3 linked regions of the Mus musculus genome follow. The protein of the gene in region 3 interacts with the protein of the main gene of each other region in a pairwise test. Links are inferred from orthologs where the notes say so. Each region holds a gene or a part of one and is shown on either strand. Other genes may lie near its edges.

Region 1 (10,647 bases), on a different chromosome or scaffold from region 3:
GGCCAGGAGTGGGTAAACTGAGGCTAAAATGGTCCAGGCAAGTTCTGGGTGTGTGCGAACGAACCAGCGGTGGGAACACAGAGCTTCCGGGATCAAAGCCAGACGCCGTCCGGATTCCGGACCCAGGCTCTTTTCGGGGATGGTTGCCTGTGCGGCAGGGGTTGGGACGACAGTGACCGCCAGTAACCCCAGCGCGCGCTGGCGCAGACGCGGTTAAAGGCGGACGCCCGCTAGTAACCCCGGCCCCATTCAGAGCACCGGGAGAAACCCGAGCTGCCGCCGTCGGGGGTGGGCGGGGCCCTAATGGGGCGCGGCGCGGCTGCTGATTGGCCATGTGCGCTCACCCGAGGGGCGGGGCACGGAGGCGATCGGCGGGCTTTAAAGCCTCGCGGGGCCTGACAGGTGAAATCGGCGCGGAAGCTGTCGGGGTAGCGTCTGCACGCCCTAGGGGCGGGGCGCGGACCACGGAGCCATGGATTGCACATTTGAAGGTACTTTGGGGAGGACCCTGCACTCTATTACTTTGCCAGGGTCTCTGCAGCGGACTGCAGTACGGTGTTCTAACAGAGAATGCAGGACGGCCCTTCCCCACCTTGGGCTGGAAATTGGTGGGCCTCTTTATCCTGCTTAAGGACCGACACCTTGCAATTTGCAACTTAGACAACTTTCTCCACATCCTCTGCTTTCCCTCTGGGCAGGATCTGGAGAAAGAAACAAGAAGGCCACTGTCCTGTCAATCCTGGAGTTTGACCCATTTGGTGGCCCTAAATTGGCCATTTTGGACCCTCCAGCAAAAGGCAGGCTTTCCAGCCCTATTAGTTTTTCCTTCTTGACCCTGGTTTCCCCAGTTGGCAAATGGCTAATGTTGAGTGGGCATGAGAGATGGAAGGTCCTATGATTAAAAGTACTATTTATGACCTGCATAAATCTGGAGAGTCTGCAAGCATCCAGAAGGCTGAGCCTGCCACCCTGTTTTTTTCACGGCAGTCTCTCCCCTGCAGTTACACACCACTTGCTCAAACATCTGTCAATGGGCAGTACTGATACCCTGCTCTGGTGGGCAAAGCCTCACGCAAGGGTGTCAAACAAACGGTTTAGTTTTAGTCCTTTCTTTTTTGCAGAGGAGGAAACTGAGGCCCAGGGAGAGGAGGCAGGTGGCCTCCAGCGCAAGTGGAGGTGTGGGCAGGGGATGTGAGAGCAGTGTGGGCCCCCTAGTGTTATGCTCACTATATGCTATAGAGCCCTTTGACCCAAAAGGTGGCCTCCATGAGTGGGTGAGAGGGCCTGGACTGAGCCAGCCAGGCTGCTAGCTGCCAGCTGGGGTAGAGGGCCTGGAGCTGGGATGGTGCCAGGGAGGACTGTTCAGTCCCTGCGAGGAGGAAGGAGCCAGGATAAGAGAGCTTTTCCAGAGGGGAAACCAAAGCCAGAATGGCCAGACCCGGGGCCTTGGCTCCATGCCCAGAACACACAGGCACATTGGTTGGCTACTTGGCCAGCCACTGGTTCTGCTCCAAGCCTGGGTATGTGCTCTGCTGAGGAGTGGGTTAGCGATGGTGGCTTTGCCCCTGGCTTTTTGGTGGAACAAGGAAAGGTGCTGCAACAATAGCTCAGCCTGTTTGTAGACCTGGGTATGAAGTCTGTTGTGTGCTGTCTGTGTGCCTGTGGCCCTTGCACCAGTGTCCTTTCTTGCCTCCAGAGCAGGTGAGCACGCCCAGGTTGAGATGGTGGTCTGAGTAGGGGTACTGGCTAGCTCTCAACACTGTCAGGGAGATTTGGACTCAGTGAGACTAGGCCAGCTCAGTCACTTCACTTGTACAACAGGGCATCTGTTTGGCCTAAGCAGGCTCAGTCAGTATCTTGACCTCAGAGTGGGCTTGCTGCTTGGCCAGACCCGATATGCTGACATGGACCTTACTTTTTGAGTCTGACCAAGATGGATAAGGACCTTGCCTGCCGTGGATGTGTGCCATGTCTGCTACTCTTGTTTGGGAGTTCCACTCTCAGAGGCCGTTAGAACGACCCTGTCTCTCTGTAGCTCCCTCTTCCCTTGTAACTGAGTGGGTGGGTGACATCACTGGAATCCCAGTGAGTCTCTGAGTTTCTGTCAAGTTCTGTGTGCAGGGGACCCTGTGCAAACACCCTTAAAGGAAGAGCCCTGGAGTGTCCGTGGGCATGGACGCTGCTCCAGTGTAAAAGCTCCTTTGTTCTGTGTCCCCTCTGCCCTACTGCCTGTTAGGACCTGTTCCTCTACTGAGAACTGGACCTCCTGAGTGTGTGAGGCATGCCCTTGTTTTACAGATTGAGAAATGGAAGCTCAACTGGGGCAGAGCAGGGCTGTCCACGTTGTAGACTGAGTATGTGTTCTTTTAACAAGCCATCCTGGTGGAGAGGGAGCAGCAAGGGCGGGAGAGGTGTCTTGGATGGCCTCCTGCCTTCGAGCAAGTGCTCAGAGTTCACCATGCAGTACAGAGGGCACCTGCATGGTTGCAGGACTGAGCAGCGGATGCCTCAGGACGGTGGGATTAAAGGTTCCCTTCGTCCATGGCAGGAATTCAGCCCAGAAATGGAGGTTGCTCATTTGATAGAGACCTGAATTTGATCCCTAAAATACTAGGTGCAATGGGGCTCACTTGCAGTGCCTGCATTCCCCAGGTTGTCTGTCAGTCTCCAGGGTCATGAGGGGGTGGGTTGGGGAAGTACTGCATACGTATGGACACGTGTGTTCACATTAAACAAACGGGACAGGCCAAGGTAGAGAGTTCAGTGGTGGAGTATGTGCTGATCATGTGCATTCTCTGCTCCACTCTGGCACACACAAAAACCCACCAACCCACGGATATAAAACACACTAAGAGAGGGGCCATTGAGCATTCTCAGGGAAGATCTTGGTTCTTGGGTGGGATTTGAATTTTCCTTCCTTGTGAGGTAAGGTTCCATCAGACTGCTCAGCTGGACGCTTACCCTTCTTTTGTTTTGTTTTTGTTTGTTTTTTGAAAGGATCTCACTCTGTAGCCCTGGCTGACTTGGAACTCACTGTATAGACCAGACTGGCCTTGAACTTACAGAGATCCACTTGCCCCTGCCTCCCAAGTACTGGGATTAAAGTTGTGTGTCACAAGCCGTCTGGCTGGACTTGGATTCTCGAGGATAGTCTCCCTAGTAGCTGAGACCCCAGCGTTGCTAGGCATAGCATAGCATAGACAAAGTTTTTGTCTGTTCTGTTCTTTGATTCCAAGCCTTAGGGAGAAGGGGGCCCAGGAAGAAGGCCTTGCCTGGTGTAGGCACTTGGTACACGCTGAGTAGGTGAATGAGTGAACGCACAAATGTGGCCCTGCTGTGTGCTATGCTGGGGATGTTAGGAGATGTTGGTGAGAGGCAAGAGCCTTGAAGAGGACAGTCTCAGCCAGCCACAGCATGAAGCGCAGGCTAGAAATGAGTAAGGATTCCAACAGTACAGGCCTTCCTTGGTGTGCCCAGGACTGTCACCTGCACACATCACAAGCGGCTGTGTGTGGAGCTGGCCTCCATACCCTGCTGCCACTCACTCACCGCGTCGTCTCCTCCCCCAGACATGCTCCAGCTCATCAACAACCAAGACAGTGACTTCCCGGGCCTGTTTGACGCCCCCTATGCTGGGGGTGAGACAGGGGACACAGGCCCCAGCAGCCCAGGTGCCAACTCTCCTGAGAGCTTCTCTTCTGCTTCTCTGGCCTCCTCTCTGGAAGCCTTCCTGGGAGGACCCAAGGTGACACCTGCACCCTTGTCCCCTCCACCATCGGCACCCGCTGCTTTAAAGATGTACCCGTCCGTGTCCCCCTTTTCCCCTGGGCCTGGGATCAAAGAGGAGCCAGTGCCACTCACCATCCTACAGCCTGCAGCGCCACAGCCGTCACCGGGGACCCTCCTGCCTCCGAGCTTCCCCGCACCACCCGTACAGCTCAGCCCTGCGCCCGTGCTGGGTTACTCGAGCCTGCCTTCAGGCTTCTCAGGTGAGCGAGTGATGGAAGAAGAGTGGCCGCTGTGCTCTTACAGAGGAATTCCCAGGCTTCAGAAGTTAGGTGGTCATCCTGCGACCTGAGATGCCCTTTGGTTCTGGGCCCAGTGCATCCCCCCAACCCCCAGTTGTGCAGCTGGAAGGTGACATGTGCAGGGTCTGTCCTGCTATGAAGTAATGGGGATAGTTATGTGAGGCCAGTCGGGGTAAAGGTCGGCAAGGCAGCCTGTGCCAGCAACCTTAAACTCTGTCTCTGCAGGGACCCTTCCAGGAAACACTCAGCAGCCACCATCTAGCCTGCCGCTGGCCCCTGCACCAGGAGTCTTGCCCACCCCTGCCCTGCACACCCAGGTCCAAAGCTTGGCCTCCCAGCAGCCGCTGCCAGCCTCAGCAGCCCCTAGAACAAACACTGTGACCTCACAGGTCCAGCAGGTCCCAGTGAGTGGGTCTGACCAGGAAGGTGGGGGGTGGGGACGCCTGGCTTGGATGCTGCTCGCTTACAGCTTGGCCCCTCCCATCCAGGTTGTACTGCAGCCACACTTCATCAAGGCAGACTCACTGCTGCTGACAGCTGTGAAGACAGATGCAGGAGCCACCGTGAAGACTGCAGGCATCAGCACCCTGGCTCCTGGCACAGCCGTGCAGGCAGGTCCCCTGCAGGTAGATGGCTCAGGCACAAGGGAGACTATGGGGGGGGGGGGAGGGTTGGCTGCGCATGTGTCTGTCCACCTGGTGAGATGCATCTGACCCCACAGACCCTGGTGAGTGGAGGGACCATCTTGGCCACAGTACCTTTGGTTGTGGACACAGACAAACTGCCCATCCACCGACTCGCAGCTGGCAGCAAGGCCCTAGGCTCAGCTCAGAGCCGTGGTGAGAAGCGCACAGCCCACAATGCCATTGAGAAGCGCTACCGGTCTTCTATCAATGACAAGATTGTGGAGCTCAAAGACCTGGTGGTGGGCACTGAAGCAAAGGTACGGCCAAAGGCCTGCGAGACTCAGGTCAGGGTGACCAGGGAAGAAATGGGGCACATCAGCCAGCCGGGGATGGGATTAGGTCAGTCCTCGTCACTTAGTCATATGCATCAACTTGTCTGGGTCTAGGCAGTCCCGTTTGCGGAGTTAGGTCTTATCAAGGGCAGCCTGGATAAAGAAAGCTGGTCTATGCATTGAGGGGGCGTGGTGATGAAGCACAGAAATCCTGTCCTGGAGGAACTGACTCCCTAGGGGAGTAGTGGGAATTGCAGCGGCTGGCTCCCATGTTCGGGGAAGAAACCAGGACCAGTGAAAGTTGTGGTTGTGAACTGGGTGGTCAAGGAAGGTCTCACCGTAGAGAGCTGAGGGTGTAGGGAATGTGAGGTGGAGACAGCAGGGGCCGCAGCTGGGAGACACCGTTGTGAGTATTCACAGGGTGACTTTTATCTCTGCCCTGTGGAGTGGGTACTGTCAGGAGACAGCAGCATAGGAGAGTTGTAGTCAGAAGGAACCGTCCCGTCCAGAGGCCCCGAGGCAGCTGTGACGCAGAGCGGCTCTTACCTGCTCTCGTACCTGTGGTCAGGTCCACTTGGCTGGCTGAGCCCTCTCCCTCTCCTCACAGCTGAATAAATCTGCTGTCTTGCGCAAGGCCATCGACTACATCCGCTTCTTGCAGCACAGCAACCAGAAGCTCAAGCAGGAGAACCTGACCCTACGAAGTGCACACAAAAGCAGTGAGTCCCAGCCCCTCCCCCCCGCCCCCCCCCCCTGCTGTCCTGGCCACTATGCCGTTGCTGTGAAGACACTATGACCATGGTCAGGTTTATTAAAGGCTTACAGTTTCAGGGGTGAACCCATGACCACAGTGGTGGCGGCAGGCAGACAGGCTTGGCGCTTGGAGCAGTAGCCGAGAGCTCAAATATTGAGACAGCCACAAGGCCAAGAGAAAGAGCTAGCTGAGAATAGTGTGGGGTTTTGAAATTTCAAAGCCTACCACAGTGACACCCCTCCTCCAGCAAGGCCACACCTCCCAATCCTTCCCAAACAGGAATGGGAACCAAGCGGTCAAACGGGACCCTCTGAAAGCCATTCTCATTCAGATTGCCACCCTGATGCTGCCTTCTCTATCCCTGCCCAACCTTGTCTCTGGCTCTCACCCTACCTTGGCCCCTGTTTTGAGCATAACAGAACCATCCAAGTCCTGGCGCTTGGCGGCCAGGCCTCTCTCACCAGCCCTGTTCTTTCTGCCTACAGAATCACTGAAGGACCTGGTGTCAGCTTGTGGCAGTGGAGGAGGCACAGATGTGTCTATGGAGGGCATGAAACCCGAAGTGGTGGAGACGCTTACCCCTCCACCCTCAGACGCCGGCTCACCCTCCCAGAGTAGCCCCTTGTCTTTTGGCAGCAGAGCTAGCAGCAGTGGTGGTAGTGACTCTGAGCCCGACAGTCCAGCCTTTGAGGATAGCCAGGTTGGACTCTGCAATATGGCCCCTTCCCTCTCCCAGCAGCCCTGCAGTCTCCTCCACCTTTTAGCCTCGCCTTTGGGGCTAGCTGAGCTCTATGCCCTTACCTCCCTTGCTCCCTGCCAGGTCAAAGCCCAGCGGCTGCCTTCACACAGCCGAGGCATGCTGGACCGCTCCCGCCTGGCCCTGTGTGTACTGGCCTTTCTGTGTCTGACCTGCAATCCTTTGGCCTCGCTTTTCGGCTGGGGCATTCTCACTCCCTCTGATGCTACGGGTACACACCGTAGTTCTGGGCGCAGCATGCTGGAGGCAGAGAGCAGAGGTGAGTCAGGTCAGCCCAGGTGTTGTCGGCAGAGACCTTTGGGACTTTGGATTTCCGGAGAACTGAGTTCTCAGACCTTTTCTTTGCCTGTAGATGGCTCTAATTGGACCCAGTGGTTGCTGCCACCCCTAGTCTGGCTGGCCAATGGACTACTAGTGTTGGCCTGCTTGGCTCTTCTCTTTGTCTATGGGGAACCTGTGACTAGGCCACACTCTGGCCCGGCTGTACACTTCTGGAGACATCGCAAACAAGCTGACCTGGATTTGGCCCGGGTAAGGGGCTGACCCTGAGGAGGCGGGGTGGGGCCCCGGGCCTGGAAGGTGCTGGGTGCCTCTGCTCACTTCATTTTCTCCAGTCTGTCTCATCCCCCGCCTTCAGAGCTCCTGACTCTAGGGGCCCAGACAAGGGGGTACCCTGCTGCCATCCCTGCTGCCATTTTTCTTACTGAGAATCTTTTCTCTAGGGAGATTTCCCCCAGGCTGCTCAACAGCTGTGGCTGGCCCTGCAAGCGCTGGGCCGGCCCCTGCCCACCTCAAACCTGGATCTGGCCTGCAGTCTGCTTTGGAACCTCATCCGCCACCTGCTCCAGCGTCTCTGGGTGGGCCGCTGGCTGGCAGGCCAGGCCGGGGGCCTGCTGAGGGACCGTGGGCTGAGGAAGGATGCCCGTGCCAGTGCCCGGGATGCGGCTGTTGTCTACCATAAGCTGCACCAGCTGCATGCCATGGGTATGGCTGGCTGGGAGCTGGGCTCCGAGGGTCCCCACCACACCGTCACCTCCTGTCCTCATGCCTCACCCACTTTGCAGGCAAGTACACAGGAGGACATCTTGCTGCTTCTAACCTGGCACTAAGTGCCCTCAACCTGGCTGAGTGCGCAGGAGATGCTATCTCCATGGCAACACTGGCAGAGATCTATGTGGCAGCGGCCCTGAGGGTCAAAACCAGCCTCCCAAGAGCCCTGCACTTCTTGACAGTGAGTAGGCTGATGGGGACAGGGCTGGGGGCTCCTCTTTACAACTCTCAACCTGTCACTTCCAGGGCAAGGGGCTAAACAGGATGTGGCAGTGGTTAGCAGGTGGGCTGTAGGCCCTCCTGGGATCCAACTGGGAGCCAGTGTGACAGTTCTGTTCCTTCCCTACAGCGTTTCTTCCTGAGCAGCGCCCGCCAGGCCTGCCTAGCACAGAGCGGCTCGGTGCCTCTTGCCATGCAGTGGCTCTGCCACCCTGTAGGTCACCGTTTCTTTGTGGACGGGGACTGGGCCGTGCACGGTGCCCCCCCGGAGAGCCTGTACAGCGTGGCTGGGAACCCAGGTGCTTTCTCGTTCTGTTCTTACCCCTGCCTCATCCCTGTCCCTATGTCACATTGCACTGTCCCCTCTTCTCTGAATGCCCTCACTTACCAGCTTATATTGCCCTGTGGGGTTGGGGCTGTGAGGTGGCTATGAGGTGGCTTTTGCTGGATTTTGCCAAGGTTCTTTAGAAGCAGGAAGCAGTATGGGTCAGCAGACAATGGGGGACATGAGAGGTGACTCTAGGGGACACCATTGTTGTCTTAGGAAGAGTCCTGAGCAGAGTCAGGGCCATGGGTATGTGACTAAATAGGCTCTCCTTTCCAGTGTGTAGCTTGTGCACAGCCTACCCCTTCTTCCCCATCAAGCTTATGAGGGCAGGGACCCATCACTGTCTGTCTGTTAGGGTTTGGAACTAGGAAGTAGCTCTGGGTTGGGGCCCCAGCTTATTAAGGCATTGGTGTGGGAGGGGACTGTAGAGAGGAGGGTGCCTAACCTCTGTTCTGCTCACCCTTCTCACAGTGGATCCGCTGGCCCAGGTGACCCGGCTATTCCGTGAACATCTCCTAGAGCGAGCGTTGAACTGTATTGCTCAGCCCAGCCCAGGGGCAGCTGACGGAGACAGGTGAGTTTGTCTGTGTCACTCCCAGGCAAGACCTACAACAAGGGCATCTGGGAAAGCCTTGTCCAACCTCTTGAGTAGCCAGACTCTGTTCTCAGAGCCTCTCTGGGTCTTGCTTTCCCCTATCAGCCAGACAGGTGGTATTTTTGTAGAATCCTAGGGTCAGACTATGCTTGGTTGGACGGTTGGTGAGAGCCATTTTCACCCAGAACCCGAGACTGCTGCTATGTGTCCTGACAGCTCTCTCCTGCCTCAGGGAGTTCTCAGATGCCCTTGGATATCTGCAGTTGCTAAATAGCTGTTCTGATGCTGCCGGGGCTCCTGCTTGCAGTTTCTCTGTCAGCTCCAGCATGGCTGCCACCACTGGTGAGCTCCAGACCCCCGTCCTGACTCCTGCCAGACCCAGATACAGTGTGGCTGAAAGTCAAGCACCTTTCCCTCTTCTGTAGGCCCAGACCCAGTGGCCAAGTGGTGGGCCTCACTGACAGCTGTGGTGATCCACTGGCTGAGGCGGGATGAAGAGGCAGCTGAGCGCTTGTACCCACTGGTAGAGCATATCCCCCAGGTGCTGCAGGACACTGAGTGAGTCCCCAGCCAGGTCCCTCCCGCCCAGTCAGCCCCGCAGTACTTTGCTTAAATATCTGTACAGGAGGACAGTGCTGTCCTCCCAGGAGTCTAGAACCGTGGCGGGAGATCTCAGGGAGGGCTGTAGTTTGGTCTAACTTCCTATGTCTGCCATGGCCCCAACAGGAGACCCCTGCCCAGGGCAGCTCTGTACTCCTTCAAGGCTGCCCGGGCTCTGCTGGACCACAGAAAGGTGGAATCTAGCCCAGCCAGCCTGGCCATCTGTGAGAAGGCCAGTGGGTACCTGCGGGACAGCTTAGCCTCTACACCAACTGGCAGTTCCATTGACAAGGTGAGGGGTAGGGTGGGTTCCTGTCTAGGCCAGGGTCACAGCTGTCCATTTCCAGGTTCTTGGTGTTAGTACAGAATAATGCTAAATGGATTTACCTCAGTTTTAACGACGGCTTAAGTCTTGGGGAGAGGGGGCTTTACTGTTTCGCCACCACCAGGAAGGAGGGTGTGGGGAGCAGACTGGCAGGGTTCCTGTTGGGAGCCATTGTTGGGAAGACTGCGGGCTTGTAGCAGGAGGCGGTGCATGTGTTGAGGCAGATGCAGTGCTTCAGTGATGCAACCTGGAGTCAGGCCCCAGTGCTGTGGACTTCCTGCCCTTACTGACGCTGCCTTGAGACAGGGTGGCCCTCAGCTAGGGAAAGCTTGATGTCCATAGGGAAACTCCTCCCTCTGCCCTGCCTGCTATCCCAGGCCATGCAGCTGCTCCTGTGTGATCTACTTCTTGTGGCCCGTACCAGTCTGTGGCAGCGGCAGCAGTCACCAGCTTCAGTCCAGGTAGCTCACGGTACCAGCAATGGACCCCAGGCCTCTGCTCTGGAGCTGCGTGGTTTCCAACATGACCTGAGCAGCCTGCGGCGGTTGGCACAGAGCTTCCGGCCTGCTATGAGGAGGGTGAGTCCCACTGTTCTCACACTGAGGGGCATGAGGTAGGAAGCCGGGAGTGGGGGGACAGTAAATCTGAAACGGGTGACTACTCCTTGCCTCTCAGGTATTCCTACATGAGGCCACAGCTCGGCTGATGGCAGGAGCAAGTCCTGCCCGGACACACCAGCTCCTGGATCGCAGTCTGAGGAGGAGGGCAGGTTCCAGTGGCAAAGGAGGTGAGGAGGTGGCTGTGCTTACAGGGCTGGTGAGGGTCAGGGGCCGTCTTGGTCTAGTGAGACATACTGAGAGCTGACTTACAGAAATCAGCGGGGATGACAGTTTTTGAGGCAGTCATAGGAAAGAAGCTGAGCCCCCCTGTGTGCCCAGCCCAAGTGGAGAAAGCAGCCAGACTGGGAGTTCCACGTGGAAGAGCTCAGCTACTTTGTCCTGCACATGGGGTGTGGGCTCGGCCAGACCTAAGC
Region 2 (10,647 bases), on a different chromosome or scaffold from region 3:
AGATCAAAATTATCTGTATCCTTCATCTGCTTGCTTAACTAGCACAGTAAAAATCACTTAATCTATCTTCATCTGGTTTTTCATCTATAAAGTAGATTACAGTGAATCACCTGTTTTTAGTACCTTTGGAAAGCAATTTTCCTCTCCTTGAAACAAAAGAGTGTTTGGCTGAAGATCTATAGTGTCTAATTCCTCAGTTCCTACCAAGAATTCTTCTAATAAAAATATATTTAGCATTTAGCCACGAGGAAAAGATTGTATTCTTCCTAGACGATGATGTGTGTTTGTATATGTAGATATGTGATGATGTGTGTTTGTATATGTAGATATGTGATGATGTGTGTTTGTATATGTAGATATGTGATGATGTGTGTTTGTATATGTAGATATGTTTTGGTCCTGACGTGGTTATTAAGATTTATTTTATGTGCATCTGTATTTAAGTTGCCTGTTGAGAAAAATACACACACACACACATACACACACACACACACACACACACACATACACATACACATACACACACACACACACACACACACACACACACACCATGTGATTATGTGATGCCTGTGGAGGTCAAAAGAGGGCATTAGATTCCCTAGTATTAGAGTTACAGATGGATGTGAGCCACCATGTAGGCTCTGGGAACTGAACCTGGATCCTCTACAAGAGTACATGCTCTTAGCCGCTGAGACATCTCCCCAGTCACCAAGCAGGTTATTCTTACAGTTTTTTCACACAGTGGTGAAGTTTTAAGAACATTGTCTCTTAGAATTTAAACATGCTTTATCAAATAAGAGGATTGGTACAGATGCTATAGAAATTTATAAGGTTTTTATTTATAATTTAGTAGTATAGAGCAACTTAAACATAGGACGGCCCCATCACAAAAATCAAGAAATAAGAGTAAGAAGTTTTGTTTTTACTGACAAAACTCAGATAATAGGGTTTCAAATGGCTAATGATGTTTCTATTAATGACATAAAAGTTAATATTCTCATTATGAAATCAACTTGAGCCTAGGTATATTCTTGCTGTTTTGAATTCACTTGATACTATTTTTCTTGTTGAATCTCTTGTAATTTTTATGACTTTATAAATGTAAAGCTGTTGCCCCAAAGTGTAAATTTCCATGCTGTGCACTTCTTGTAACATTTTCTTCTGACATTAACTGTTTACCCACCTGTTATTCCTAGCCTGTTGGTCCTCTGCAGTCCTCTTCTCAGCCTGTTCAGTGCTCTCCAGCCCCCTACCCATCCCCGCTCCTGCCAGTCTCACCCACCCAGCAGTACTCCGTGGTACTGTATCTCCTTTCACCTCACTGTTACTATGGGCATTGTGTGATGAATGCTTCAGACTGTGCTCAGTGTGATTTGCTCTTTTACAGGAAGTTACATAGGTAACAAAGGTTTTTTCTAATTCTTATTAATAATAATTTATTCCTTTTCATAAGACAGTGATTATATCAACTTATAGTAACTATAAAAGACTTAATATTATTCCTATTTTTCAGAAGGGAAGTTTTCAGGTTGAATGTTCTGAACTAAGTAGTCTCAGATAGTTTAGTTTGTTTTTTTTAAATCGAAGTCAGTTTTGAGTCTATGTAGTCCTGGAGGGCAGTGTCATAGAGTTCTAATTAAAACACCATTACTAAGATCAAGATGGGAGGAAAGAGTTTATTTCATCTTACCTCAGGAGTCTAACTATATTTCTGTGGGAAGTCAGGGCATGAACTCAGGGCAAGAAACTGTAGGTAGGAGCTGAAGTGGAGGCCATGCAGGGCTGCTGCTCATTGGCTTGATACTCATGCCTTACTCAGCCTGCTTTCTTATACAACCCAAGAATACGTACTTGCCCGGTGGTGGCATCGCCCACAATGGGCTGGCCCTTATGACATCAATCACTATTTAAGAAAACATACCACAGACTTGCTGACAGGTTAGTCTTACTGAGGCTTTTTCTTTTTTTTTTTTAAAAGATTGATTGATTGATTGGTTGATTGATTGTTTGATTGATTGATTTGGTGTATATGAGTACACTGTCTTCAGAAACACTAAAATAGGGTATTGGATCCCATTACAGATGGTTGTGAGCCACCATGTGGTTGCTGGGAAATGAACTCGGGACCTCTGAAAGAGCAGTCAGTGCTCTTAACTGCTGAGTCATCTCTCCAGCCCCATTAAGTCATTTTCTTAATGAGAGTCCATCTTCCCATGTGACTCTAGTTTGTGTTGTGTTGACATAACTCTAGTGAGAACAGGCAGCTTTCCTTTTTAAGTACTAGTTAGGTACAGTAGGTCAGAAGCAGTTACTTTCGATGGATTGCAGCATGTAGCTATAGAGAACTTCTGACTTTATCAGAGGTCACTTGACACTTAATTTCTTACTGTAAGATAATACCCTTAATCCAAAGTATGCCCTGAATTATAGTTGTCAGGGTCTGTGAGATCAGGCCCGCACTGCAAGTAATTAGCTTTGTGATGTTAAAACATTGCATCTTTTCCCATACATGAACTAGCTTCTACTTTTAAAAAAATTTGCTTTCTTTAAAGTGAACTTCCTGAAAAACTTGCTTGTTTTTAACTAGGGATATTCTATGTTGACCTGTCCTATGTTGGATGCTTTTGCTTTGAATTGAGGAGACAATATTTATCAGCTTAATCTCTCAATGATTTTATGAAATAACTTTCAGCCTACAAGAAAGAGAAACATGAGGCTGGAGAGGTGGCCCTTTGGTTAAGAGTACTAGCTGCTCTTCAGAGGACCAGGGTTCAGTCTCCAGCACCCACGTGGTAGCCCACAATGCCTTTAATTCCAGTTCTAGGGAAGTCTGACACCCTCACACCCATGCACATGAAATAAAACTGTTATTAAAAAAGGAAACATTATCTTTTATGAATGGCTCTTGTACTTATACTACTTTTTTAATATTTAGCCATATTATTTTGTAATTTAGAACTAGGAGTATTTTCATATATAAGAAGCCGTTTCCATATATTCTAAGTCTGTTGCTTCCTAAGAGCGGGCATTTCATTTTAACCCTATGCTGTCATTTGGGTGACCAATAAGAGATCATGCTTAGGCTGTCGAGTTAGGAGCTATCTGTCGTATGGCACATAACTCATAGCCTTGGCTGTAGTCCACTGGTTGCTTAGCAACGATCCAGAAACAGGACGCTTTGATATAAAGTATCCTCCTGTTTACATTGAGCGGCAGACTGAGAAATTATGCCTATATTATTTTTTGACATATTAAAAAAAGGGAATGACTAGTTAGATTTTGATAGTTGGAAATGCAGAAGAGAAGAGCTATTTAAAAGTCATTTCTCACAGAAAATACTAAATATGTAATATAAAAATGTCCAGGTTTGCTTCTGAACCCAAGTCAACATTTAAACTTCATTAAATACATGTAGCTTTGTTTTTTAAACTGAAAAATGCACTCTCATCTTTTTCTCATGCTATGATTTCCACTAGGTATATTTTATAAATAATATGTAATATCATTATATCTTCCCTCCTACATAGGAGTTCTCATTTTCTTGAACCTGCTGTCTTATATCTTATCTGTTATACATGCATGTGATGCCCATACATATACTGCTACAGCTTGCTTACAAATATATAAAGTGTAATTGAGGAAAATACGTAATAAAAAATATTAAAAATAAATAAATAAAATAAAATAGAAATATATATATATAAAGTGTAGGGCTTGGGTAATATAGCTCAGTTAGTAGAGTGCTTGCCTCATATCAAATTGTCTTGGGTTCCGTCCTAAGCACTGCACAAATTAGACATTGTGATTTATAGCTGATCTCCAGCATTCAGGAAGTGGGAGACAGGAGGATCAGAAATTCATGAAATTTTCAGCTACGTAATGATTTTGAGGCTATTCTCTGAGAGATGAGATACTCAAAGGGATGTGGGGTGTAGGGTGGGGGTGTATTGTAGCATTTGCATTGGTAGGTTTGGCCCATGAATGAAAGGCTGACTGATGGCCAACTTTTTTTCAACAGGATAACCTTGGCGCTCAGTTCAGCCATATGAGTCTTGCCCGCCAGCCATCAGCTGATGGTTCTGACCCTCATGCCACCATGTTCCAGTCCACTGTTGTACTACAGTCTCCACAGCAGTCTGGTTACATCGTGACGACAGCACCTCCACATCCGCCACCACCACCTCCACCACCTCCCCCTCCTCCTTCCCTACCACCTGGGCAGTCAGTCCCCACTGCCAGTTTCTCTGCCTCTGGGCATCCTGTCAGCCAGCCTGTGCTCCAGCAGCAGGGGTTTCTTCCTCAGCCCTCACCACAGGTGTGTTGTTTTTTCACGTTCTTTCTCTCTCAGGAACCTCTAACTTGGGAACAATTTGTGAGGTAGTGTAAGTAAAGCCCATGGTTATCTCTGGAGATTGTCAAATGCCTAGGGAGCAGCCATATAACATTTAGTTACAACTCAACGTACGTCTTCTTTGAATTTCCCTCTGACTCTGAGAAGTGGGTTTTTTTGTTTGTTTATCTTAGGAAAACATAATAAGTGTGTGTGTTAGTTAGGGTTACTATTACTGTGATGAAATACCATGATGAAACAAAAGCAAGTGGGGAGGAAACTGTTTATTTCATTTGGTTTACACTTTCACATCATAATCTATCATTGAAGGAAGTCAGCAAAGGAATTCAAAACAGGACAAGAACCTGGAGGCAAGAGCTGATGCAGAGGTCATGGAGGGGCGCTGTTCAGTTAACTGGCTTGTTTATCCTGGCCTGCTCAGGTTTCATTCTTACAGAACCCAGGACTCCTTGCCCAGGAATAGTACCACCCACAATGAGCTGGGTCCTTCCTGCCAATCACTTATTAAGAACATGCCTTAAGGCTGGCTGTTATAGAGGCACCTTCTCATTGAGGTTCCTTTCTTTTCAGATGACTCTAGCCTGTGTCAAGTTGATATAAAACTAGTCCACCAGTCGGCACAAAGTATATATGACAGCATTTCAAAAATAGGCCAGGCTGAACAGAAGTAGCATCATAGTGGCAACTTTCCTGTTATAAACAAATCTCTCCGTTCACTTCCTTTGATCTTAATTGTTTTCACTATGTTTAATGTGGGTTGGGGGGGGTGTTTGTTTATTTGTTTGTTTTGTTTTGTAGGGAGTAAATTTGAGACAGTTTTTCTATATAGAGCAAGGTTTCCTGAAACTTGCTCTGCAGACAGGATGACCTCAAACTCAAAACTCCCATCTGTTTCTGCCTCCCAAATGCTGTAATTAAAAATGTGCACAACTTGGCTTGACTGTTTTGCCAAAATAGATAGTACATATTTTATTTAGTACACTTGAAACATTTAATGTCTTTAGTTGCTTCTACAAAAGGAACTGTTTTTAAGTTTCACTTTTTTATTTGTTCACAACAAAGGGAATTTGAGCATAGTGATTTTATATCCTGTGGATTCTCTTTCTCTTCTGTTTAGCTACTTCCTCTGAATTGAAACATTCCTCCTTGGTGGTAGGAAGGAAGCTTATATAGTCAGAAAATAAGCAAGACTTACTAGTCTCAGAGCATCAATGAAACTTAAAATTATCAAGAAGGTCCTAAAACAGAAGATCACAAGGGCCTCCCTGATGTTACAGCAACATGTGCTGAGAGAGATTCCTCTCCAGACTAGAGTGTAACTGCCTCTAGTTGTTCAGGGAGTTCCAGTGATACAATTGTCATGAGTTGTCACATGCACTTCAGTGAGCTATTCAGTAATGCAGTGTTTGTCTTTTATTCATCCAGTAAACTCATTGGGTTTGCTAAGCTAGATGTTCCTGGCCTCGTTTCTCTGGTCTGTTGTTTGTGCCATCCAGGGTGTCTTGGATGAATAGACGTTTGTTCACATCTCCCCAGGTAGAGGCAGAATCAGGCAACACCTTTCCATGGATATTCATTGTCATAGTGGACTAAGTTCTTAGTGGGTTTTTCTTGTTTTGCCAGGTTGGTTTTTTGTTTGTTTGCATTATCTTTTCAGGTTAGTTTGTCTTGATTTTGCCTTTCCTTTAACAGCCATTATTAATCCAAGCAATCATTGTGCACATAGTAAGGATATACTCTACCATTAACCTACTAGCTTTCTTATATAGCCTTTTTATGGAGTGAGGTTCTAGTTTTATAGAGTTCTTAGAATTGTGTATATGACAGATCATTTCTCCACAAAAGATTGTTTCTGGGCTTTTTTTTTTAACCCCTTCACTACAACTGTTCGAGATCAGATTAATTTAAAAAACAAACTACACTACGTGTAATGGCACATTACTTTAATGTCAACACTCAAGAGGCAGATGCAGGTGGATCTCGAGTCAGTAGTCAGCCTAAACAGAATTCCAGATCAACAATGACTACATTGTGAGACCCTATCTCAAAAAAGAAATGGGTAATATCTAAACACACTATCTAGAAGGTATTCTGGTCATCTTCTTACTGTCTTTCCACTTTGCCCCCTCTTCAAAGATTTTCTTTAAACACCTTTGTAAAATGTTTTCAACTGGGCATGGGCTCCTCACTGATACTTACTCTCTTGGTTTTAAATAGTTGTGAATCTCTGTAATGGTCTCTGTTGCAAAAAGGTTTTTTGCTACACTTACTTGCCTGTATAAGGATAAATAGAGTACAATTTTAAATGATTGGGAAAATAATGGTTATGGCTTCTCACCAGCATTTATAACCTCTGCAGCCACAGACGAGGTGTATGTACCAAGCAAGCATGAACTCCCTCCTATTGAGTAGGTGTTAAATCCAATTAGACAACTGTTGGTAACCCATAGATAAAAGTGCTGGTTTTACTTCACTGGGGATCCCTTGTCCGGCTGGCATTGTTGTGATTTGTAGCATGTACAGGTAGGTAGGGTTGTTGATTGCTTTTTTTTTCATTGTTAGCTTGCATAGCACCTTTTGATAGTGTGAGAGCTATTCCTCAGGGAGGAGGCTTCCAGTCACTTCAACTCCACTTCCCCAAGCCCTGAGTCTAAATTATGTGGTGTCCTCAGATCTTCGAGATCTGGAAGCAGCCATGAACAATGGTAGCTTTCAGTAGTATTTCAGCCAAGCAAACTTGGTTTTATTAAAAAAAAAAAATGTGAAACAAATACAGCAATAAAATTAACAGCTAAAAGTGATTAGTGAGCACAGTGGTAAATGTCTTTTGCTCTGTGTGGTTTGGTTTGAGGGATTGTTTGTTTTGTTTGAGACAGGGTCTTTCTATTTAGCCCTGGCTTACCTGGAAGTCACTATGCAGACTAAGTTGGCCTCAAACTCACAGAGATCCCCTTGCCTCTGTGTCCAGAATGCTAAAATTAAAGGCATTTGTTGCCACACCCACGGGAGGATATCCTTTTAAAGATACCTGAAACCTGGACTTTATTTTTTTTTTCCATTTAAATTGAAAAATCCAGTTGGTTTTAAAAGGGTTTATAATTACTACTCATTGAATGTGCTTCATGGAAAAACTACTTTTCCAAATGAAACTAATTTTTGTCCTCGTGGCTTACAATTATAGATGCCAGCCTGTTACTGTGCTCCAGGCCACTATCACTCCAGCCAACCTCAGTACCGCCCTATCCCTTCTGTCCATCACAGTTCACACCTAAACCAACCACTGCCACAGCCTGCACAGCACACAGGTGAGTTGTCTCCATGCCAAGGTTTTCAACTCTGGACGTTACTTTGCTTCCAGTTTTACTTTATCCTTTACATTAAGATTCTATTATGCTCAATCTTTGAGGATCTCAGGGGTGTGTGTGTGTGTGTGTGTGTGTGTGTGTGTGTGAGAGAGAGAGAGAGAGAGAGAGAGAGAGAGAGAGAGAGAGCTCTAGTCACATTACGTGAAGAGTAGAAAATCATATCTTTCTTTAGAAAACTACACAGATTTGTGTGATAAAGGGATGAGGGCATAACATGAAGGTTCTGCAAGGTCAGGATCTGGTGAGTAGCTATTGGGTTCTCATAGTCTTGGTAGTAGAAGCCCTTTACAGAGCTATGTAAATCGAGATGGCCTCCATACTATAACCAGAAACAAAAAGCAGAATCTGTTAAATGGTTTCATTTGAACCTTAAATGTCAAAGATGGCTGAAGAACTGTATTCTTTTTCTTTTGGTTTTGGTTTTGGTTTTTTGGAGGGGTTGTGGTTTTTTGGGTTTGTTTTTTTTTTTTGTTTTTTTTTTGGTTTTTTTTTTTTTTTTTTTTTGGTTTTTTTTTTGGTTTTGGTTTTTTCCCAGAGAAACTTCTCTGTGTAGACCTGGCTCTCCTGGAACTCATTCTGTAGACCAGGTTGTCCTCAATCTTAAAGATCCACCTGTCAGAGTGCTGGGATTAAAGATGTATTCCACCACCACCTGGCTTGATGAACTGTATTCTTATACATTTTTCTTTCTCATTTTCAGTTTGATAATTATTTGGTGAACAAGAAACAAATAGAATCTACTACTGGAAGTATAAAAATTATTAGAACTCAATCTTGATTTCTTTTTGTCCTATTTTTTAAAGAATCTGTTGAACTGAACTCCAGTCTCATATTTTAGATACTGTATTAAGGGCTTGGTAATAATTTAGCAATTAGTGATTGCTTTACAAGGTTGAGCACCTGAGTGTAGTCCCTATTCCCCACATAACAACAGACATAGTACGATACTTATCATTGTAGCGCTGGCAAGGGAGAGAGGTGGATTTCTGAGACTTGATTCCCAGCCAACCTGGCCTGATTGGTGTACTCAGAACTAATGAGAGACTATTTTAAGAAGATAAGGTGCACAGCTCTTGAGCAATGATACCCAAGGTGATCTCTGGTTTGTACACATATGTGCACTCATTGATGCAATCCCACAGACACACAGAAAGCTGTCTTACTGATCTTAATGAGCTCATTTCTGTTGCCATCCTGGTTGTGTACTGTTACAAATTTTAATGCGTTATTTAATTAAAACCTGTGTTACGTAAATTAAAGAATTGAGATTAAATTTTATAATTGATTTCTGTAGAGCAGTTTGCGTTCTTTGTCATTGGCGAAGGTACAGATTCTGTGCAGAGGCATTTCAGTCAAGCTGCACAGAGGAGTCTGCTGTTATCAGTGCTGTCTCCTAACTCTTTAGACCTACTTCTGGACTGGTCATTCCAGTGAAAATACTCACTTCTTGCTTCTTGTACAGTGTAGTCAACAACTCCCATTGCAGATAAGAGTCATAATTAGCACAGCTCCACATCCAAACTTTTGTGTCCTTAACCTGCTATACCTGAAAGTTTTCTGTTCTTAGTGGTTGGGCTCCTTTTTCTGTTCACTAGCCCTACATTACACATGCAACAGGTATTTTCCTACATGCTTTGGCATCTTCTGATCATTTTAGCTAAACTATAATTTTTTTTGTCTCAAATATGACTCCTTTTAATGTCAGATTTGCCTGAAGCCTAGTAATATGGCCCATGTCAAAGAATATAAACAGTTTATATTTTAAGTTAAGAAGATATCAAAGTTGTTGCTAGCTTGCTAGTTGTCTCAGCAGGTAAAGATGCTTACTGCGCAAGCCTGACAGCCTGAATTTGATTCCTGGACTTCTGTAAAGGTAGAGGGGAAAGGACCAGCCCCACAAAGTTGTCATGTGTTCTATGACACATCATGTAAACTCTCGCACTCGTATCTTATAATTATAACTTTTTATAAAAGGTTTTTATAAAAATGAGATTGCTCATGAACATTGATCATACTATTGCTCATTTAAGGTCACATAGACAATTGTATTATTCTAATAAAAATGATATTCTAGCTGGGACCAGTGACATATGCCTATGCTAGCGCTATGTGGGCTGAGGTTAGGAAGATCACAGCAGGGTTAAGGTACACTTGGGCTGTATAACAGCACCATATGTCAAAATTAAAACAAAAACCTTAAAAAATAATAGTAAAGAAAGCATTTTTTCTGTGCTTTCTTGGGCCTGAAAATAATTGACTTTTCGTAGTGTATATCTTTTTTGTTTTGCCTTCTAAAATTATAACATCTGATGTGATTTGTTTTTATTTATGGTTTTTCCCCCTGTGGTCCTGGGTATTAGACTCCAGTCTTTGTCTATGCTCAGCAGGCATTTGCTGCCTGGCAACATCCCTTCCTGTGATAGCTCACTAATTTTATAAAAAGTAAATTGAGTACTGGAGCAATGGCTTAGAGCTTAAGAGCACTTGCTCTTGTAGAGGACCCTGGTTCAATTCCTAACACCCACATGTGGCTCACAAACATCTGTAACTCCAGTTCCAGGGAATCCAAAGCACTCACCTGACTCCACAGACACCAAACCTACATGTAGGCTTCTACAACACTTATGCACATAAAATACCTTTAAAAAAATCAAAAAAACTTCAATAGAAAAAAGTAAGTTGGGGCTGGAGAGATGGCTCAGTGGTTAAGAACACTGGCTGCTCTGCCTTAGTTCAATTCCCAGCACCCACACGGTGGCTCACACCCATGTGTAGTGAGATCTGATGCCCTGTTCCACTGTCTGTCTGAAGACAGCTGCAGTGTACTCATATAACAAATGAATAATTTTTTTAAAGTAAGTTGACTCTCATGCCATTTATTTAAGTACTTTTTATATGACTCTCTGTGTTATCAAACCCTGTTAATAG
Region 3 (10,665 bases):
TGCTTTATCGGTCTTTGGTTTTCCCGAGTGTAATCCATGTGCAGAGAGAAAAGATAAGTGGAATACCCCCATACCCTTACAAAATGAAAATACGTCACCATCTTTCCACCAAGAGGACTGTTGGTTTACAAACGGTGGCTGAGTTCAACAGGAGTTCACAAAATTCTATTTCATCTTAACGCAGCACTTATTTTAAGGGCAAGGGAAGTTTTGATTTTTATCTGGTAACGTTTCAAAGGAAGCTTCCAAATACTTAATAATCACTTTCCCAGAAGCTCCAAGGGCTGGGAACTTGGGTTCGCTTGTACACGGATTTGTGTGTACACAAAGTCCTATTTACACATCACCTGGCAGATAAGGCTTGATAGAGTCCAAATTACAGTCTCCTCCCTTTCTGCTGAAGTACACAGAACAGTCAAATGTGATGCAAATGCTGTAAAATATTAATTTACTCTAGCACTGGCATGCCTCCTTCTTTCAAAAAGCATTTGTCCTCTTATCCTAGCCAGAGTAGGAGTTATTTGCTTGCCATATCCCATCAGAAATAGAGAGAGAGAGAGAGAGAAACATGAGAATTAAAGGCAAGGCTACATGAGCTCACTGTAAAAACACACAAACAACAAGCGAGACAATAAACTATAAAACACTGCATACACTAAAATTGGAATCTTTAATATCTCAAAGGCACAAAGCCGAGAAACACAATACTATTAATAGTGAAAGATTACCAAGCAAGGTGGCCCCAAATAACTGAAACTGAGATGATGTATAAAAACCAGGAGGGAACACAGGCATCAGGACCAGGGCCGAGGGCACGAAGAGAGAAAGTCTGCCATACACAGTGGCAAGAAAATGCCTTTTCTTTCCGTAAGAAGCAGACATGCTTACAGGTTGGCAGCTGGAATCGCCACTAAAAGCACCTGATAAGTCACTCTAAACCTGTCGCACTTAAAGGGCATTTCGGTGGAAGCAGGTTGAGTCCTTCTCAGATCAGATGAAGCCCTGCAATCATGGGACCACCTACCCCGAGGTCTTCTTAACACCTCCAGTTTTCTGAAAAGGGCTTTTTCGAGTAGAACACCATTTTTGTTTACACAAGGGTGGTCATCATTGCGTTTTCATTAGCCCACAAATGGCATACATTAAGAGTTATAGAAAAAGCAATGGAACACGGCTGCTAACGTCCAACGGGCCACACAAAGGAGGACTCGAGTTGCTCTGTTTGTCTATTATGGCTCTAAACATGCTTTAGTTCATGTGGGAGTAGTAATAACAGGAAGTACAAATATTTATACTAAATTATCCTAAAGAGTTAAGGTTTATAAGGACTATAAAATATGCCATTAGGCTGATTAGAGTAAAAAAAACATAAAAATAAAATTAGGAAAGAAAAAATAAAAACGCTGTTTCTACCAATAAAGATAAATTATCTCACGACATTCCTTTTCGTCTGTAATTTTAAGAATTTATTAAAAAAAAACTCAAACCAATTACAATTCTTACGGCCAATATTTTTTCCAATTATATAAAGCTAGCATCCTATGTGCACATCATGTTACCGCTCACAGAATTGCGATGAGTGAATTTATTGTACTAAATGAAATTAAATGCAACTGAGATAGTATTACTGAGGACTCTGACATTCACATCTTAAGCAACAAGCGAAAGAGTAAACTGCATAGGTAGAAATGGTGGCCTCCATTGCCATTTCTACAATTTTCTGTCTATAACAAACATTTAACAAAATAGGAAAAGCACCAGTTAATCTTATCAGGTGGGAAATATGACGACCAGGATCAAAGTCTGTTCTTCGAAGCAGTCAGGTTGCACAAACCTCTCTCTGTCTCTGTCTCTGTCTCTGTCTCTGTCTCTGTCTCTGTCTCTGTCTCTCTCTCTGTCTCTGTCTCTGTCTCTGTCTCTCTCTCCCTCTCTCTCTGAAGCCAGTTATTCAGACTTGTGTGACACTCCGAAAAAAATACTAAGCCTGTAAAGTCAGTCAGCCCCAAGCCCCTAAAAAACTGACAGGCTGTCTCCTGAGAAGGCTCTTTTCATATGCAAGTATTTAAGCTTTTCGGAGTCTTCAGATGACTCCAGTTCAGAGAAATTAACATTCACTCCCACACTCAGCTGCTTATGTGAGTTCTGCTCAGGGTTTTGGTGAAGTACATTTATTGACTGACTCCTAATAGGAAGCAGGGCGAACTGCTACAGTCTATTTGGCAGGAGAAGCCGTCTTACAAGGTATGTGCAGGAGCAAAATCCACTTGACATTTCAACACGGGAGAGAAAACAAAGTCACATTATACAAAAGGAACGTGAATCCTTGAACTTTAAGGACAGCCAGACTGGGAGTCATAGGAGTGTTGACTAACGTTTTAGTTGTTTCTTCACACTGGCCGTTCCTGGTTCCTGGGATTCTGGGCACTGGGAATTTTTGGCCATCTTCTGCTATTTGATATGTAACCTGATGGCTCAAGAGTCTTTCTCTAATCTTTCTCTCAAAGGCAACTAACTGGGAGGCCTGAAGTCTCTTTATGCTATTTCTAACAAAATACCACTGCTTGCCAAGCCCTCTTAAAACGAAATGGGGGCTGGGGGAAGGGACACGATGCCTTTTCCAGTTCTCCATCAAGTACAGACACTTCTCGTATTTATTTTGGCAAGAGCTCATTTGTACACTGAAAGGCACAGGCCCACGTCTAACTGCAAGTCAAGCCGTTTCTCTGTCTGTCGCAGAATAGAATCGAGGCCCTCCAAGGTGTGGATAAAACTTAAAATTTCTGTCCTCTTATTTTAGATCCTGGTTTCACATGAACTCGCCTCTCAGAAATAATAGCTCGTTTTAACCACAGTGATACTTTTTTTCACTGGACCAGTGATACTTTTTTTTACTGGACCAGGCCACAGTAATGTGCCCACCACATAAACTCAGTAACCAGGGGAAACTGAGAAACCCCCTGGGAAGAAAACTGCACAACTTTCTCAGTCTTGGCACTGGAGAGGTGAGAGATTTGTGTGTGGGGGGGTGAGTGTCTCTTTATATGTCTTTCTCTCTTCTATTTTAACCGATTTAGCTACATGGCTTTAAAACTGTAAACTGACTGGCAGGGTCACAACTAAATCATGTCACATTCAAAGTTCCTAAAACATTCCCCTTCATTTGGACTGTCTGAGCAATGTTGGGCTACTTTTCTGTTATCTTTTCAGTTATAATATAATCTTTCTGTCCTTAGTAGGCTTAAGGTGGTGCCCAACGTAAGTGCTAGAGTGCAGCTCTCTAGACGTTCATTAAATTATACCCGTAGTATCATACAAACTGTTTACTGTGTAAAGCTCCAAGCAATAGAATGGCTTGTATCATCTCTCACTTAGCTGCAATATATATATATTCAATTACTTCTGAAGATATCAAAGATCAGGAGCAACAGATCCAAATTAAGGAAGATAATATTCACAATGCCTGCCTACTGTCAGTATCCTTTTTTTTTTTTTTATAATGTAGACTGTAAAGTTTAAAACTGTAACAGTGGAGATAGGCTTGCCAGATAAGTCATCTCCTTTTCATAATGTAAACCATCTAGAAAGCCAGCCAACACTGTCAGCAATTTCTATTATAAAGCATGGGTGTGCTGTCCTCTCACACTTGAAAGGGTTAAGTGCCTACCAGGCCAAAGGCTCTAGACTGAAAAAGAAAATGTTGCTTTAGTCAGCTCTGAAAGGTTTCTAGCAAGTATCAAATACTTGTTGATCTGCTCACAATGAACACCAGCAGGATTGTGAGGCTCCTTTCTCTATCTGGGGAGATGCATTTACATACTGTCCCCAGTAGGAACAGCGTGTTGGTTTCCCTTTAGAAAAGCTAAGTAGCTCGAAGCCCCATTCAGTGTCTCCTGACTGAAAGAAGACAGCAATTGAAACAGTGAAGTCTCTCCCCTCCCGGTTCGGGGCAGCTCAAATACTGTGCATAAAACACTTGGAGTAGTTCAGGCAAACCCACCTGAATGGGCCAAGGAACACTGTCTGTAGCCATGGCAACCTGATCTAATTACATGAGTGATCAGGGCTGGAGTAAGTGTACAGAAAACTAACACCACAGACAGTATCTATGATGAGAGAGGCAGACAGGCAGGAGGCTTCTCAGCCTCAGCTTTATGTGGAAGGTGGCGTTCAAGCCAATTTATTTGCAAAGCTGCTAAAATATTGACTGATGCGTGGCCAGTTAGAGGACAATCAGAGGAGATTAAATGCCACAGCTAAGCTGTTATGGTGCAATCCCTTTCCAAGAGTTCTTGCGCATGTTTTTTCTTCTCTCTGGTGGCTACCTCTAGCTTCCCCTGGCATAAGCTTCATTCAAAAATAAAATAAAAATAAAAACCCTCGGCTATCAAACTGTCTTAGCTACCCACCCACCATCAGTAAACCAGAGGGTAGGCTTAACCCAGGCTTCTAGGAATGGCAGGGCTCTTCATAAAGCTGGACACGGTTTAGCAAACACTATTGCAAAAAAGTAACCAGCTGCGCCTAAAAATACCCAGCATGTAACTACCTTGTTGCCTACGATCTATAGCAGTGCTGTTTAAATATTAAGAAGAGCTCGCATTATAAAACAGAAATGTCACTGAGATGACACTACTAGGTTGCTACAGGGAAACATAGGGCATACACACATTCCCCTGCATACCAGGCAGAATGTGAGGTGAGAACTCTAAAGCATTACTTTTTATTCTGTAGGTGGTGTGGGGTCTTCTAATTTTACTAATTGTATCCTGTGGCTCTCTCTCTGACAAACTAAGAAACCTCTTCGGGGACAGAACCAGTTTGGAGGAGTTCCTACTGCACAACATACGGTAAACAAAATAAAAATAGCTTGCCTTTCTTGTTAGCCACATAGCGCATTATATAACCAGCTTCCGACTGGCTTCTTTTTTTTTTTTTCCGCCCTTACTACTCTTCAGCAATTTCCCAACCTTCCCCAAGTATTTATATTGCCCTCTTATCTGTAGGATTATACAGCAAGAAAGCAAAACAAAACAGGACAGCCACGGGATCGAACTAAACCCCATCCTCTTACCCCTGATCCTCCCCCCACCCCACCCCCCGCGCCCCTGGCAGAGTCTAGATACAGCACCCTACTTCCACCCCCCACCACTAAGGTCCTTGCTCAATCTCCCTAGAAAACCTGAATTGTTTCACCTCTTGCAGTCAGCTCTCTACGTGGTCTGAAATAAAATGAAAGCGCACAAGCCACAGAGTTGAAGGAGGCGGCTCAAGAGAGGTCGAAGCGCTGCAGAGTCAACCAAGGGACCACCGTGGACCCCCACCCCCACTCCCCGCTCCCCATCGCGATGGTCCTGGTCCCCGCCCGGCGCGCGAACACACGCACACACGCACCTACACACTCACACGCACTTACTCCCTCCTCTCCGACCCCGCCTCACCTCTCGCTCCGCCCGTCCGGCCCCTTCCCTGCCCCCTGCGGGACCGGCCTGCGCGCTCGGCTGCAACCACGTAGGAGGCGGCGGCGGTGGCGGCGGCAGCCCTGGCAGTGGCAGTGGCGGCGACTCGGGCCCCGAGTGAACGAGCCGCGGGGCTCCGGGGCACATCCCAATCCCCGCAGCGCCTCCTCCGCCGCCACCTCCTCCTTCCCCTCCTCCCGTCTTCATTCACCCTCTCTGCCGCCGCGCAGCAGAGCAGTCCCGGCGCAGGGCAGCGCCCGCAGCTCCTCCGCTACTGCTGCGGGCGCCGGCAGAGTCGCCGGGCCGGGCTGGGGCGCTCGCGGGCTCCCGGCTCCAGCTCCGGCGGTGGCGGCGGCGTCTGCTGCTGCTGCTCTGGATCAGGAAGCGGCCGCACCAACAGGGCGGCGGTGGCAGCTGCAGCTAGGGCCGGTCTTCTCCCGCTGCGCTGCGATGGCCCGCGCGCCCTTGCCTCCTGAGGCGCCACCTCTCCGCGCCCCTAGCCTCACGCAAAGTCCCCTCTTGGTCCCCTCGTAGCCCCGAGAGGCTGGCCTAGGCGGGGAGACCCCAAGCTCGGGGTTGCCTCTGTCAAGCTAGGCGACCCCGGGCGGGGAAGCCCAGCCCTCCCTCGAGCCCCCGCAGCGCTCACCGCCCCCACCCGGGAGGGGGGACTGGAGAGGAGCGAAGAGGGCAGCGCGACCCTCCGCGGCTGCCGCCTCCCCCTGCGCCACACGGAAGGAGGAGGACCGGGCTCTATCCGCTCGCCGCCGCCGGACCGGCAGCAGCCGAAACGGGGCGCCGCCGTTCTCCCCACCCGCGCCCCCCGCCCGGGCGCGCCCCCTCTCCTGGCGGCCGCCCACCCAGCCCCTATCTGCTGCCCTTGCTAGCCGCTCCTGCTCCCAGAGGGGGTCCCGAGCCGGGAGGCTGGAGCCGGGCACTAGTGTATGTACACACAGTCACACATACACTCGCGCGCGCGCCTGCACACACACACACACACACACACACACACACACCACGACGCGTCGGTTTCCTTCGCTCCTCTTCCAGCTGTTTTCCGTGCAGCCCATTGAGACTGGGGGAGGGGGGGTGTATGCTGGATGTTCTTTGGCCCCTCTCCGGAGAGAGCAGATTGGGGTGCGGGAGGGGGTGATTTTAATCTAAATCGGGGTGGAAGGGGGAGGGGGAGAGAAAGAATCAGAGGAGGAAAAAAAATAGCCACTTACTGTAAAGTGTAAATGGATCTGGGGTTGCGTGGGGAAGGGGTAACAGAGGGAGAGACACAGTGTCCTGCGGCTGCTGTAGCTCTAGCTGCGGCTCCACAGGGCTTGTTTTGGATCCCCCTGCAGTGAAACAGGTCCTGTACGGCTCCTCCACTGTAGTAGAAATGATGTCTGCGGTATACTCTGCTCTCTCCTCCTCCTCCTCCTCCTCCCCCCTCCCCTCCCTCCTCCCTCCGCCCGCCCTCCCTCCCTCGCGCTCTCTCTCGCGCTCGCTCGCTCGCTCCAGTATGTAAATGTGTAATAGAAGCCAAATATGGAGCAGTTGGCTGCCGCCGCCGCAGCTCAAGGATCCGACTTCATGGGGGGGGAGGGGGGGGGGAGGCACCCTCTGGCAGGCGGCCCGGCGAGCCGCACAGAGCACGGCGAGCGCACGGCGCGGCTGCCGGCCCGCGCCCTTAACCCTTCTATGCACCCGGGCTGGAGCGGCGCTCGCTCCAGGGGAGGCCGGGTTGTCTCTCCGCAACTGTGGCTCCGGATCCCCGACACCGACCGGAGGGGACTGTGCCTTCCAGGTTTGAGAAAGGGGCGGGGAAGTTGGGGCGATGAGGTCATTGGAGTGGTGACCGATCGGTGCTCGCGCGCCTCCCCGGCTCCCTGCAACCTAGTTGGAGGGGGACAGGGTGAGTGCAGGGTGCAACTCAGGCAACCTGGGAGACTCGCAGCGACGGGTGTCAGGATTTGGCTCCTACTTGGTAAAATACCCAAGGGGGCGGGGAAGTCGGCTGATTTCTAATTACGAAGTGCCCTTGGTGCCCCCCGGGTGAGCATCTAAAGAGGACTCATTGTATCCTTACTGTTAACCCTCCAACCCGCCAGCCCTGCGTCATCCGAGGCAAGGCCCGCGCCTGCTGCCTTGGCTTGCAACTCGGGAAAGTTCTCAGGCTTCCCCAGCTTGCACTGGCACCCTCACCTTTCCTGCCTGGACAAGCTGGCGACCTCCCGGTCCTCCTTTCAAATTCTGCTGGTCTCGAAATCTGCTGTGGGCATGGAACGCCTCAGCTCTAGCTAGCCCTGGTAACCGACCTCACTCACTCCTCAGGGCTAACTGTGGATCATTCATTTCATCGCAAGCGAGGTAACCTGTGCACTGAGCAGTCAGTCGATGGTGGTTCTCGGGGAAACCAAGCGAAGGAACGCTCCCCCACCCACCTTGTCCCGGTGGCTAAACGCAGACGTGGACTCCCCACCCGGCCCCCTCCGGCTACACCTCAGCCAAGCGTAAGCTCGAGGGAAGAACTCTTCTCTGGAGGCGTTCACCTTGCCAACAGGTGTGGCACCCGAAAGAAGAGCCATCACATCCCCACGAGGGTCGCTCAGTGCCGCGTTCTCTTTGCAGCAGAAAATTCTTGAAGACCAGTAGGTGTCAGGCCAGCATCTGACCTCTTTCAGGTGCTTAGAACTGAGAGTCTGGAAACTCGATCCCTTGGTCTCGCTGGAAGCCACTACTATTTATTGACTCTAAGCCGGATTTGAGAGACCTTTTGGCTCCGTTTACGTATGACCCAACAATTAGTCACTGTCTGAAGCAGCGTACAGAATCACCAAGAGAAACGTGTGCGCGTTTAAACTACTGTATTGTGGAGCCGGCACTTCAGAAGTTAAATTAAAAAAATAATAATAAAATAAAATAAAAGAGATGCAGTGGTGTGTGTGTGTGTGTGTGTGTGTGTGTGTGTGTGTGTGTGTGTGTTTGTGGTGTAGGACACATTATCTATTCTCAGGTTTTGAAATACCGTGCACACATCCACGGTTGCTTAAATAGAACTACAACTGTTCCCTCTCACCGCCCCCCCCCGCCCCCACTCCCTATAAACTGTGTTGTTCACTTGAGGATCCGCGATTATTAGACTTCATATGCTAAAGTGACATTGTTGGTCTCATTACAGCCTCTAGTGGACGGTTAACGTTGAGTTTCCTGTCGGGGCTCTGTCTAGTTTTGTTTTCCCTCCTGAGCTTTATCCAGGTGAAGGTTAACAGTTCAGAGCTTAACTGACTGGTGTCTTTTCGCTCCCTCTTGGTAAAGCTGTCTTTGAAATGGAGCAGACGCTCGCTGGCTGCCTGTGGGAAAGGCGTCTGCTTTGTGCTACAGGTATTGTTCCGGCTGGCCTGTGAAACCGACAAAGCTTCTGTTATTCGCTTCACTTGCAGACAGCTTTCATATAAAAAAAAAAACAAATTTAATCTAAAATATTTTTATAACAGAAAATATTGGTTGCCATGTTTTTGGCATAACTGAGATGTTTTTATTCCAGCTCATAATCTGTAAACTGTCCAATCCACCTCCACTCTATTTTTAGACATCTTATATTTAGAGAATTTTCAAGGGGAAAAAACCTCCTAATATTGTAATTATTACGTTGGTGCAAGCAGTTAATTTGCATTATTTTAACAACCTTAAACATATTAAAACACATAATTCATATTAGACGTAGTCGATTAATTTAAATGTTCCCTGAAGAAAGCTAAATATGTACATTATCCATACAGTAAAAATAATTAATAAGAAATGTGTTGTTTACTTTCCTAACCATTAAGATTAAAGCCATAAACACTCTCTCTCTCTCTCTCTCTCTCTCTCTCTCTCTCTCACACACATACACACACACACACACACACCTACAGCTATTGCTTCCTGCAAGTTCCAACACAAACATAATACTCATAGAGCAGTTTCCTTACTTGAGTACTGAGATGTTTCATTTCCTGAAGACAAAATGTCAAACGCACCATCTGAGAAGGAACAGGAGAGGCTCTCTAAAAGCAAAAGTTCTCATGGAAATAAAACCTCCATGGAAAAAGAACAAGGTTTTCAAGGTGGCAGCTATATAGCACTGGCCCCTACCCCCAAATCTGATATTATGTTTGTATAAGACTCGGTCGAGCTCTGTAGTGAAGCAAAATTGAGGAAGGAGGCCCTGCTGAACCTTGCTCCTGATGTGTGTTATGTATTATTTAATGTAAAAAGAAATGTTAGTACCTTCTATTTATTTTTTAAAGATATATATTAAAGATACATATATCTTAAATATATTAATACTTAAGATGTTTAATATATATTAAATATATTTAAAAATAAGGTACTAACCTGTGTGTGTGTGTGTGTGTGTGTGTGTGTGTGTGTGTGTGTGAGAGAGAGAGAGAGAGAGAGAGAGAGAGAGAGAGAGAGAGAGAGAGGAGGGTCCTCTTATCACTTTCTGATTATTCCTTTGAGACAAGGTCTCTACCTAAACTTAAAGGGTCATATTTTCTAGACTAGGCTGGAAATCAGCACACCTAGTCTTTGCCTCCTGTCTCTTCCCACTCCAAGTTGAGGTTACAGACCCATGGGATGCTCAGCTGTAAGCAGTGCTGAGGTCCACGCTCGGGACCTCCCTGTCTTACAACAAGTCTCAAGACGTGTCTCCCCCACCCCCCACCTTCTTTCTGTTTTGCTGATTTTTGTCTTGTCTACTCTTGAAAGGTCAAAATGGTCTAGCAACTATTTCTTAGGTCACAAGACTCTTCTGTCACACTTCTGCATTTGCAAGCATGATAGTTAATGCAGCCACAGCTGCTGCAGCACCACCATTCAGGGGATTTTAGCTTTTCTGAGTCAAGGATCCTACCCCACACTAGGCAGGTGGGGTCTGCCTTTGAACCAACTGCTGGGGACTGGCTCAACCCAGCATGAAGAACACTGGTCTGTTCTTTGGGGCGCTACCTCAGCACACTTGGCCCCACATACAGAATCTAATTCTCCAGTGAATTACCTTCATACTAATTAAATTTACCAATGGGAAAAAATTCACATTGCACTTGGACCTCTGTATTCTCAAATTTAATCAGCTTCTGGTAATACACACACACACACACACACACACACACACACACACACACACACACACATATATATATATATATATATATATATATATATATATACACACATA

What was found.
Region 1: the proteins of Atxn1 (region 3) and Srebf1 interact in binary tests that used the Homo sapiens proteins (3 or more experiments, as listed by UniProt). The link is inferred for Mus musculus from reciprocal best matches to the Homo sapiens genes ATXN1 and SREBF1.
Region 2: the proteins of Atxn1 (region 3) and R3hdm1 interact in binary tests that used the Homo sapiens proteins (3 or more experiments, as listed by UniProt). The link is inferred for Mus musculus from reciprocal best matches to the Homo sapiens genes ATXN1 and R3HDM1.

Annotation. Positions count from the first base shown.
Region 1 is NC_000077.6:60,200,180-60,210,826, reverse strand, and holds part of Srebf1 (sterol regulatory element-binding protein 1 isoform a precursor), read left to right. Parts: intron 1-341; exon of another isoform or gene 342-472; coding exon of another isoform or gene 473-491; intron 492-1,566; exon of another isoform or gene 1,567-1,701; intron 1,702-3,569; coding exon 3,570-3,989; intron 3,990-4,253; coding exon 4,254-4,432; intron 4,433-4,516; coding exon 4,517-4,654; intron 4,655-4,749; coding exon 4,750-4,971; intron 4,972-5,593; coding exon 5,594-5,705; intron 5,706-6,225; coding exon 6,226-6,440; intron 6,441-6,560; coding exon 6,561-6,756; intron 6,757-6,849; coding exon 6,850-7,028; intron 7,029-7,219; coding exon 7,220-7,481; intron 7,482-7,561; coding exon 7,562-7,728; intron 7,729-7,896; coding exon 7,897-8,065; intron 8,066-8,499; exon of another isoform or gene 8,500-8,565; coding exon 8,566-8,668; intron 8,669-8,921; coding exon 8,922-9,031; intron 9,032-9,114; coding exon 9,115-9,247; intron 9,248-9,415; coding exon 9,416-9,581; intron 9,582-9,991; coding exon 9,992-10,192; intron 10,193-10,209; exon of another isoform or gene 10,210-10,289; and 2 more.
Region 2 is NC_000067.6:128,189,439-128,200,085, forward strand, and holds part of R3hdm1 (R3H domain-containing protein 1), read left to right. Parts: intron 1-1,199; coding exon 1,200-1,301; intron 1,302-4,021; coding exon 4,022-4,318; intron 4,319-7,535; coding exon 7,536-7,659; intron 7,660-10,647.
Region 3 is NC_000079.6:45,958,136-45,968,800, forward strand, and holds the start of Atxn1 (ataxin-1), read right to left. Parts: upstream 6,857-10,665; 5' UTR 6,680-6,856; intron 6,491-6,679; exon of another isoform or gene 6,470-6,490; intron 6,250-6,469; exon of another isoform or gene 5,439-6,249; intron 5,303-5,438; exon of another isoform or gene 5,194-5,302; intron 1-5,193. UniProt on the Homo sapiens protein: Chromatin-binding factor that repress Notch signaling in the absence of Notch intracellular domain by acting as a CBF1 corepressor. Binds to the HEY promoter and might assist, along with NCOR2, RBPJ-mediated repression. Binds RNA in vitro.